Macaca mulatta: one gene and its partner. The protein of the gene in region 1 purifies or fractionates together with the protein of each later gene. This does not show direct contact. Links are inferred from orthologs where the notes say so. Each region holds a gene or a part of one and is shown on either strand. Other genes may lie near its edges.

Region 1 (4,099 bases):
ATTGCTAGAAATATTAGATCCAAAACCAGAAAAGACTTAAGCACTAGTGAAGAAATAAAAAACATGAAATCTGAACCCAAAACACAAAATATATATAAACATAAAACTGAAAGTTGAGCTCAGTAACCATGCGCAAAGAGTGAAAACTGGATGAGTTTTTAATCATTGATCACAATCTTCATGGAGCTAAGAATTTTTATAATCTCTTAGTCCTGTAAGGCCTACTATATTACTAATCTTACCAGAGCTATTAATACATCACAATTATAGATGATCCGAAAGCAGATTTCCCTGTCAACAAATTATAGTATCCCTTACCAACTTCAAATAGCTTAACTCTTGTGAAAGGAAACGTGTCTTCAAAGAAATGTAAAAACCTGCAAGCTTGCTGGGTGCGGTGGCTCACGCCTGTAATCCCAGCACTTTGTGGGGCAGAGGCGGGCGGATCACCTGAGGTCAGGAGTTCAAGACCAGCCTGGCCAACATAGTGAAACTCCGTATCTACTAAAAATACAAAACTTAGAGGGGCGTGATGGCAGGTGCCTGTAATCCCAGCTACTCGGGAGGCTGAGGCAGGAGAATCGTTTGAACCCGGGAGGCAGAGGTTGTAGTGAGCCAAGATCCAGCCACTGTACTCCAGCCTAGGGGACACAGCAAGACTCTGTCTGAAGCAACAACAACAACAGCAACTGCAAACTTTACAAACTTTAGTGTTATTTGAAAAACTAGAAAGGTTCAATATACAATTATTAAGCACGTATCATTTTTAGGTTACCATTCATGTTTGTGCTCCATATCTGCAGAAATCCCCTTGGACAGTTTTTATTAAAATTTAAATTGTTTGAAAACAAGGATATGCATCTAAAGTTGCAGGAGCTGGAGCCAAATATTCTACATCTAATTAACTGGACGAGTTACTTAAACTCTTTCTAATCTGTAAAAGAAATATTTATATAATGGTCTGGACTCAGCGCATCAGTTTGAAATCCCTCCCCCCCACCCCTCCCCCAAACGCGGATCAGTCCTATGAATCCCATGGATTCAGAAAACACAAATTTATCAACTAAAAAAAATCAGAGACACTTATGTCACCCAAGAAGTGGATTCCTTTAGAGACTTTTAAACTACAGGATTACTGACGTGTTTACAAAAACAGAGAATGGGTCCAGGAAATTATCTTTAAAGTTCATATGGCTGTTTCCATACTATGTTCAAGGTCTGTTCCTCGATTCAAGGTTATTAAGCGCAACACATTTCCCCTTTTAAACTGCCCTCCTAGTAGCACCACCGATAGTAGGTGATAACACTGTAAGGAAGGTCGGATTCTGTCCCGGCTTCCCGGGTCGGCCCGTAAAGGGTGGTTTCGCCTTAACACTTAAAAGTCGGAGAAGGAGGGGCTTGGGGACGCCAGGCGGTTGCCCAGTCAACCAACCCACTTCCTCCTGAAGCCCGGAAGTGACACATGTCCCGGAACCTACGCGGAGCCAGGGTCCGAGACCCTCTGAGCTGCTAATCTCCGTCCTGATCCATTGGTTGGGAAAGAGATTGGAAACATCACCGCAAAACATGCTGCAAACCCCGACTCGGACTCCGCTGGGGCCGAACCAACGCCCTCGCACAGCCTCGACTCCCTCCCCAGCAGCCGGCTCGCCGCCGCCCCTCTCGCAACCAGCCATTTTCCAGGCCCGCGGGAACGCGCGCCGCGCCCCGCCCACTCCCACGTCACACCCGCAGGCCCCGCCCCCGGCGCGGGGGCCCTCCCCGCCACACACGCCCCTCTCTTCCTCTCTCGCGGGGGACCCCTCCCCTCTTAACCATTTTGCCGAAAGAGCTGGGCTAGGGCTGCGGCTCGGGGCGGCCGAGAACTTTCCCGGGGCAGAGAGCGGAACGGACTGCTCTCCTCCCGGCCGGGGTAGGAGCGCGGAGGAAGGCCCCCTCAATCTGCCTCCGCGGCCTCTCGCCCCCTCCCTCCCGCACGTTCCAAAGCACCCGCACTCCGGGGTGGGGGCGAGTGAGGTGGGGAAGTGCGCCCCGCAGACCAGCGGGAGCCCGGCCGCTCACTCCCTCTGGCCCTTGCCCGGCTGCAGTCCTGGGCCGGGGCGGCAGGGTCTGCGGCACGGGGCAGGCGAGCGCCTGAACAAATGCTTGCTGCTTAAAATGGCTGATTCCCCTCCGCGGCAGCTGCAGCCGCTGGGTCTGCAGCGGGGGCTGACGAACAGCCCCCACCCCCACTCCGGGGACCCCAGAGAAGTACTCGCCCACCGCGGGGCAAGGAGGGCCGCGAACCCAGTCTCCAGTCCTCCCCGTCCCGCTCGGCAGACCCTCGGTGGGCTCGGGGAGACTGTCACGGGAGAAAGGGAAGGTGGCACTGCCCCGGCAGGCTCCCTGCCACCGGCTCCCGAGGCCGGCAGCCCCGCGGCCCCTACCTTGATATTTGTTGTCCAGCTCTCGCAGCACAGACACGTTCCTCTGCATGTCGTGGGGCAGCGACTCCACGCACTCAAGGTAGTCCTGCACGTAGCAGGTGAGCAGCCGGCTCCGCTCCCCGGTCAGGAGCGCGGCCGACGAGTACAGTTGCTGCTGCTGCTGCCCTAACATCCTGCCGATGCGCGCCGTCGCCGCCGCCTCCGCATCCAGCAGCCGCACATGCACCGGCCGCGGCCGCCGCGGTCCCTCAGCTCAGCAGCCCGGCGCCGCGGGGACCCCGCAGCCGCTCGAGAGGGCACGGCCGCGCTCCCCGATCTCCACTCCCCCCAGAGCAGCCCTCACTCCCCGCCCCCGCAGCACCAGCCCAGGGGCGGGGCGAAACTGGGGCTCCCTCCTTTCTCCCCTCCCGCTCCAGGACCGGAGCAGTGGGGATCCCCTCGGCGGGGCCGGCGCCGGGGTCCCGGACGCTGACACTTCCTGTCCCCCTCGGAGTCCCCAGATGCTACCAGTGCCGTCTCGCAGCCCGGATCCCCATGACAAGCCCGTCGCCGCCTGCCTGTCCCCAGTCACCCTCCGTGCCTGACGGGGAGCCTCCCGCTGGCCTGCCCCCGCCCCTCCGCCCGCGGCCGCCTCTGCGCCTGCGCAGCGCTCGATCCCAATAAGGCCGGGGCCCGCCCCTACCGCCTACCGGAGGGTTCGCATTCTCCCGCCTTCGCTTTGCCGCCCGGGCGATTGGTCTGCCGGCTCCGGGCTAGGGGGGGAGGGTGTCGGGGGCGGCCAAACGGCAGGCCTCGCCCCGCCCCCCTTAAAGGGGAAGCCTGGGGAGCCAGTCTCTGCGCCCCGCGTCTGAATGGGACCCGGCAGGGGAGGCGGCTCGGTCCTTCCGGCCGCCCTCCCCGCGGGGAGGGGCAGCTCCGCCCGGCCACACCGGCTTTTTACCCATCCGGCGGTCCGAGTGCGGCTCCTCGCGCCCCTGCAAAGGAGCAGCAGGCGGTTCCTTTTTTTCGGACGACCCGGAGCGAGGCCTGCAGGACTGCGCGTCCCGGCGGGCAGCGGGCGGCAGGCGGCAGGCGGCGGGCGTCTCCCGGCATGCGCGGCAAGGCGTTCCCGCCGCCTCCGAGCTCGCCTGGGGCTGCCGCCCGCCTCCTGCCGGGCCCTCGGGCTCGTCCGGCACCGCGGGGCTGATCGGGGAGGTAGGCGGTGCTTCCTCCGGCCCCCGGCGTCGTGTGCCCTGCGGGTTTCGTGGCCCTTCCCCTGCGCTGGAATCTTCTATGTCATTTAGGGGGAAGGGATGCGGGACGGCATCTGCCTGCCAACGCATAGGTCCCACAGACAGCCTTTAAAAACAACTGCGTTTGGGGTGTGTCAGAACATTTAAACACAGGACGTCGGCGGGGCTTCCTGGCGGAGTGGGGCACACGCCAGCTTTACGGGACTTTTTGCTTGGTCCTGCCCCAGGACTACAATCGGAGGGGACCTGGGGCATGCAGACGCGAGTAAAAACCTAGTCAGCGGGCGGGCCCTTGGCCCCGTAATCTACGTGATCTCCTAGTGGGGTTTAATTTCGGTGTAGTGTAAACGAGATGCCAAGCAGAGGAACTGATTTTAATTTCATATGGACTTTTTTGAAAGAAATGGGTGCAAATAGAATGAATGCATGGAGAATTTTAAT
Region 2 (4,044 bases), about 10 Mb from region 1:
AATATCTTTTCCCAAAGACAAAATTTTCAAAAACAGCTATTTCATTTCATGTTCTTATTTCGACTTTCAGCATTGTGTTTATCTTCACTGGCACATTAAGTTGTCTTTGGAACGAGGTGGGTATATAAATTAAACCATTTGTTCTTCCTAGTACTTCATCAAGTAATAATAACAAAAAAAAAAAGGAAATAAAAAAGAAGTTGTATTCCAATAGAAGCTTATTTTTCAAATTTGCTAGCATTATAAAGCACTTAAAAAAAATAATGCTATTTAAAATATCTTCAATTCCAAGTCAGATTGTCCCAGAGAATGCAAATGTGCTACATTTGTTACTTCTCCTTACCCTGTTAATTTCTTGGAAGTTTACAAAAAAAAAAAAAAGGGGGTTATAAAATGAAGGACTTTACATTAAAATATCAATACTGATCTCTAAGTCAGTTTAAAAGAAAAATCAAGTTTCACAAAATAAATACACTGAAGCAACTATAATAGTAATAACCTTTATTTAAAATAGTTTTTAATTTAGGAAAGCTCATTTTACATGAGTTTCCAACTAATTATTAGAGTCAGAAACAAAGAAAATAAAATCAGAGAAAATCCTCTGTAGAAAAAATACACAAAGAACATTTCTACATGTGAAAAAACAGTAAACAGTGTTATCATCCAAGTTATTAGTCTCAATTCCACGTCTCCTAGTGAACACCACTATCAACCTTGACATCTGATTTGTTCTTGTCATTCTTCACTGAGTAGATGAAATATGTTAAGGTGTCTTTTTCATTCACTGGAATAGACCTAAAGTGGCAACCAACTATCTATAAAGAAAAAAAAAAAAATTAAGGAAATTAAATTTTAGATATAACAGGTTTCATAAACTAGGTAAAAAATACGGTTTCATCCAAAGAAAAAATCTATGTGATAAGAGCTATTTCCTTTAAAAATTATATTTAAGAAAATACCAACAGGACAAAAAGCATTTAAGAATAAAATGTTATGAACAAGAGATAATGTGATTTCAAAGGACCTTTTGGCTCACTCAATTTACTATACATTGATTAGAAAATACATTTTCCTTTTATTTATTTTAAATTTTATAATTGGGCCAGGAGTGGTGGCTCACACCTGTAATCCCAGCACTTTGGGAGGCGGAGGTAGGGGGATCACTTGAGCCCAGGAGTTCAAGACCAGCCTGCGCAACATGACAAAACCCCATCTCTACCAAAAAAAAATACAAAAATTAAGTAGGCGTGGTGGTGTACACCTGTAATCCTAGCTATTCAGAAGGCTGAGATGGGAGGATTGCTTGAACCCAGAAGGTGGAGGTTGCAGTGAGCTGAGATCACGCCACTGGACTCCAGCCTGGGTGACAGAGCAAGACTCTGTCTCAAAAAAGATAAATAAGATAAAAATAATAAATTTTATAATTGGAATCTAGAGTAGGGAATACATGTTTTTACTTTTAAACTTTAAATGAGATAAAACAGATGTAAGAGACCACATGCATCATTAAACCTGCAATGGTTTAGACCCTACTGATAGAAAAAGAAGTATGAAGTTGAAAACTTTTGGTAGTAATCAACAATAACATATAAATTATTTGCTGCAAATTACATTCATTCATTCGTATCTTGGTAGCATTCTTTGGTTAAGGTTCCTTGAAAATTTTTCTGAATAAAAATTGTGAATGGAAATGAGAGGAGAAAGAGGGATGTTCAATGAAGGATGTTTACCTGCTTCCTTGCCTTTTCATTGTGCTAATGTAATATGCATACTACAATTACGAATAGAAGATTAATAGACTTACCTGAGGTGCTGACAAGCATATTTAGATTCCAGAAAATAGAATTTCTTAAGAAAAAAGTTCATCCACACAACAATTACGAGACTTAAGACTTAGTCATACAACCCTGGAATCCCTTAAAACAGTGGTCCCCAACCTTTTTGGCACCAGAGATCGATTTCACGGAAGGCAATTTTTGCACAGATTGGGGGTGGGGGAGTTGGTTTTGGTATGAAATTGTTCCACCTCAGATCATCAGGCATTAGATTCTTATAACAAGCGTACAACCTAGATCCCTCACATGTGCACTTCACACGTGGTTTTGGACTCCTGTGAGAATCTAATGCTACGGCTGATCTGACAGGAGGCGGAGCTCAGGCAGTAATTCTTGCTAGCTGGTGCTCACCTCCTGCTCTGTGGACCTGTTCCTAACAGGCCATCAACCAGTACCAGTCCATGGCCCCGGGGTTGGGGACCCCTGTCTTAAAATATATGTACTACATCTGCACATTTCCACATTCCTTAACCTGTTAATAACTGCATTTCTGATTAAGTAAAATATAACACTCATGGCTATCTCTTATGTATAAAAAAGAAAATAGCTCTAGAAATAATATAACTGTTCTTAGAAGGTCAGTTTATCAAAAATTTCAGGTTTAATTTATACCTAAATGTAACATTTAAAATAATTAGTTCTTTGGTTCTCATTTGTTCCAAAACAGGGGTGCCTTCACTCCATTAGTACCTACTGAAATATTTCATCATGGTGGGCAAGATCTATATTTACGTTACATAATGTATTGTACAACCCCAAAAGAACTTGATCTTTTAAATCAAAATTAAAGAAAAATTAATTAGATCCGTGTTGCCTAACCAAGGATAAGAAATTTTAGCTAAATAGTTAATGTATTAGATTTTAACAATGTTAAAAAGCGTTCCATCAGATAAATGTAACTTCTATTCATATTTCATTTTATTCAATGAAATGTTGTACATTTTAGAAAATGTTGGGTAACTACTAAATCCATGCAAAGAATATGAGAAAACCGATTTATATATCTACACTTCTATTTTGTCTAGTAGGCTAAATTTTCTTTTTTAGAGATGGAGTGTTGCTATGTTGCCCATGGTGACTCAAACTCCTAGGATTAATCAATCCTCCTGAGTAGCTGCAAGCAAAAATTTTAAATATGATTAAAATATAAATATATCAATCTATAAGCATCTTAATAAGATGCACAGACTTCTTGGTTCTATTATATCCTGAGAACATATGCATACTCCATTAACTTTCACAACTCACTGACTAACTAGAAGTCCTCTGTCAAAGCAAACTACAAGTAAAAGATTGGGTAAAAGAAAAGCTTTTGCCTCTTCTAGATGTGAAGAAAACATAGATGTCTCTAATAAAACTAACATCAACAAGGACCAATTTTGAAATAGTTAAGTCAGCAAATTATAAAAATACTGTTTAGGGGCTGATTTGTAGGCCTACTCCACCACTTTAAAATATAAATTTTAATAAGGACATTAAAGCTTGCTAATTAAATTTATTATGCCTCAATTAGATGCTCAAACATTTACTGGTTAAATGGAGTTTTAAAACTAATAGATTTCTAAAGTGAGGATTAAAAAAAACTCTCATTCAACATTTTGAGGGCCAGGCACGGTGGCTCACACTGCTGATCCCAGCACTCTGGTAGGCTGAGGTGGGCGGATCACTTGAAGTCAGGAATTTGAGACAAGTCTGGCCAACATGGTGAAACCCCATCTCTACTAAAGATATTACACAAAAATCAGCCTGGTGTGGTGGTGCACACCTGAAGTCCCAGCTGCTTGGGAGGCTGAGGCTGGAGAATTGCTTGAACCTGGGAGGTAGAGGTTGCCATGAGCCGAGATCGTGCCACTGCACTCCAGCCTGGGTGACAGAGCGAGACTTTGTCTCAAAAAACAAACAACACATTTTGAAAGCCAGTATCAGAAGGTGCTGTACACAACCTGCTGAGTAGTCATTACAAAAAGGAATTTCCTAAGTGGCTGACAAACATTTCTAGACAACTAGATTCTTCCACAATAGATTTTTTAACATTGTTCTTTCTAAATAAAATGTACTGTTAAATGTACTGTTACATATACTACATTAATACTTTCATTAGCATTTAACAGCCTCTCGGTTGTGCATAGTTCAAATAGTTTAAAAATCATATATACCTCAACAAGCTGTGCTTTATTAAGTCCTGGTCTGGTTGGTAGCTTGAAGTGTC

What was found. The genes of interacting proteins can lie anywhere in the genome.
Region 2: the proteins of ING2 (region 1) and SAP30 purify together in Homo sapiens (affinity purification with mass spectrometry; 3 studies listed by BioGRID and IntAct, counting the BioPlex papers as one, with this or other methods). This does not show direct contact. The link is inferred for Macaca mulatta from reciprocal best matches to the Homo sapiens genes ING2 and SAP30.

Annotation. Positions count from the first base shown.
Region 1 is NC_133410.1:191,950,009-191,954,107, reverse strand, and holds the start of ING2 (inhibitor of growth protein 2), read right to left. Parts: upstream 2,801-4,099; 5' UTR 2,599-2,800; coding exon 2,427-2,598; intron 1-2,426. UniProt on the Homo sapiens protein: Seems to be involved in p53/TP53 activation and p53/TP53-dependent apoptotic pathways, probably by enhancing acetylation of p53/TP53. Component of a mSin3A-like corepressor complex, which is probably involved in deacetylation of nucleosomal histones.
Region 2 is NC_133410.1:181,805,840-181,809,883, reverse strand, and holds the end of SAP30 (histone deacetylase complex subunit SAP30), read right to left. Parts: coding exon 3,992-4,044; intron 816-3,991; coding exon 693-815; 3' UTR 501-692; downstream 1-500. UniProt on the Homo sapiens protein: Involved in the functional recruitment of the Sin3-histone deacetylase complex (HDAC) to a specific subset of N-CoR corepressor complexes. Capable of transcription repression by N-CoR.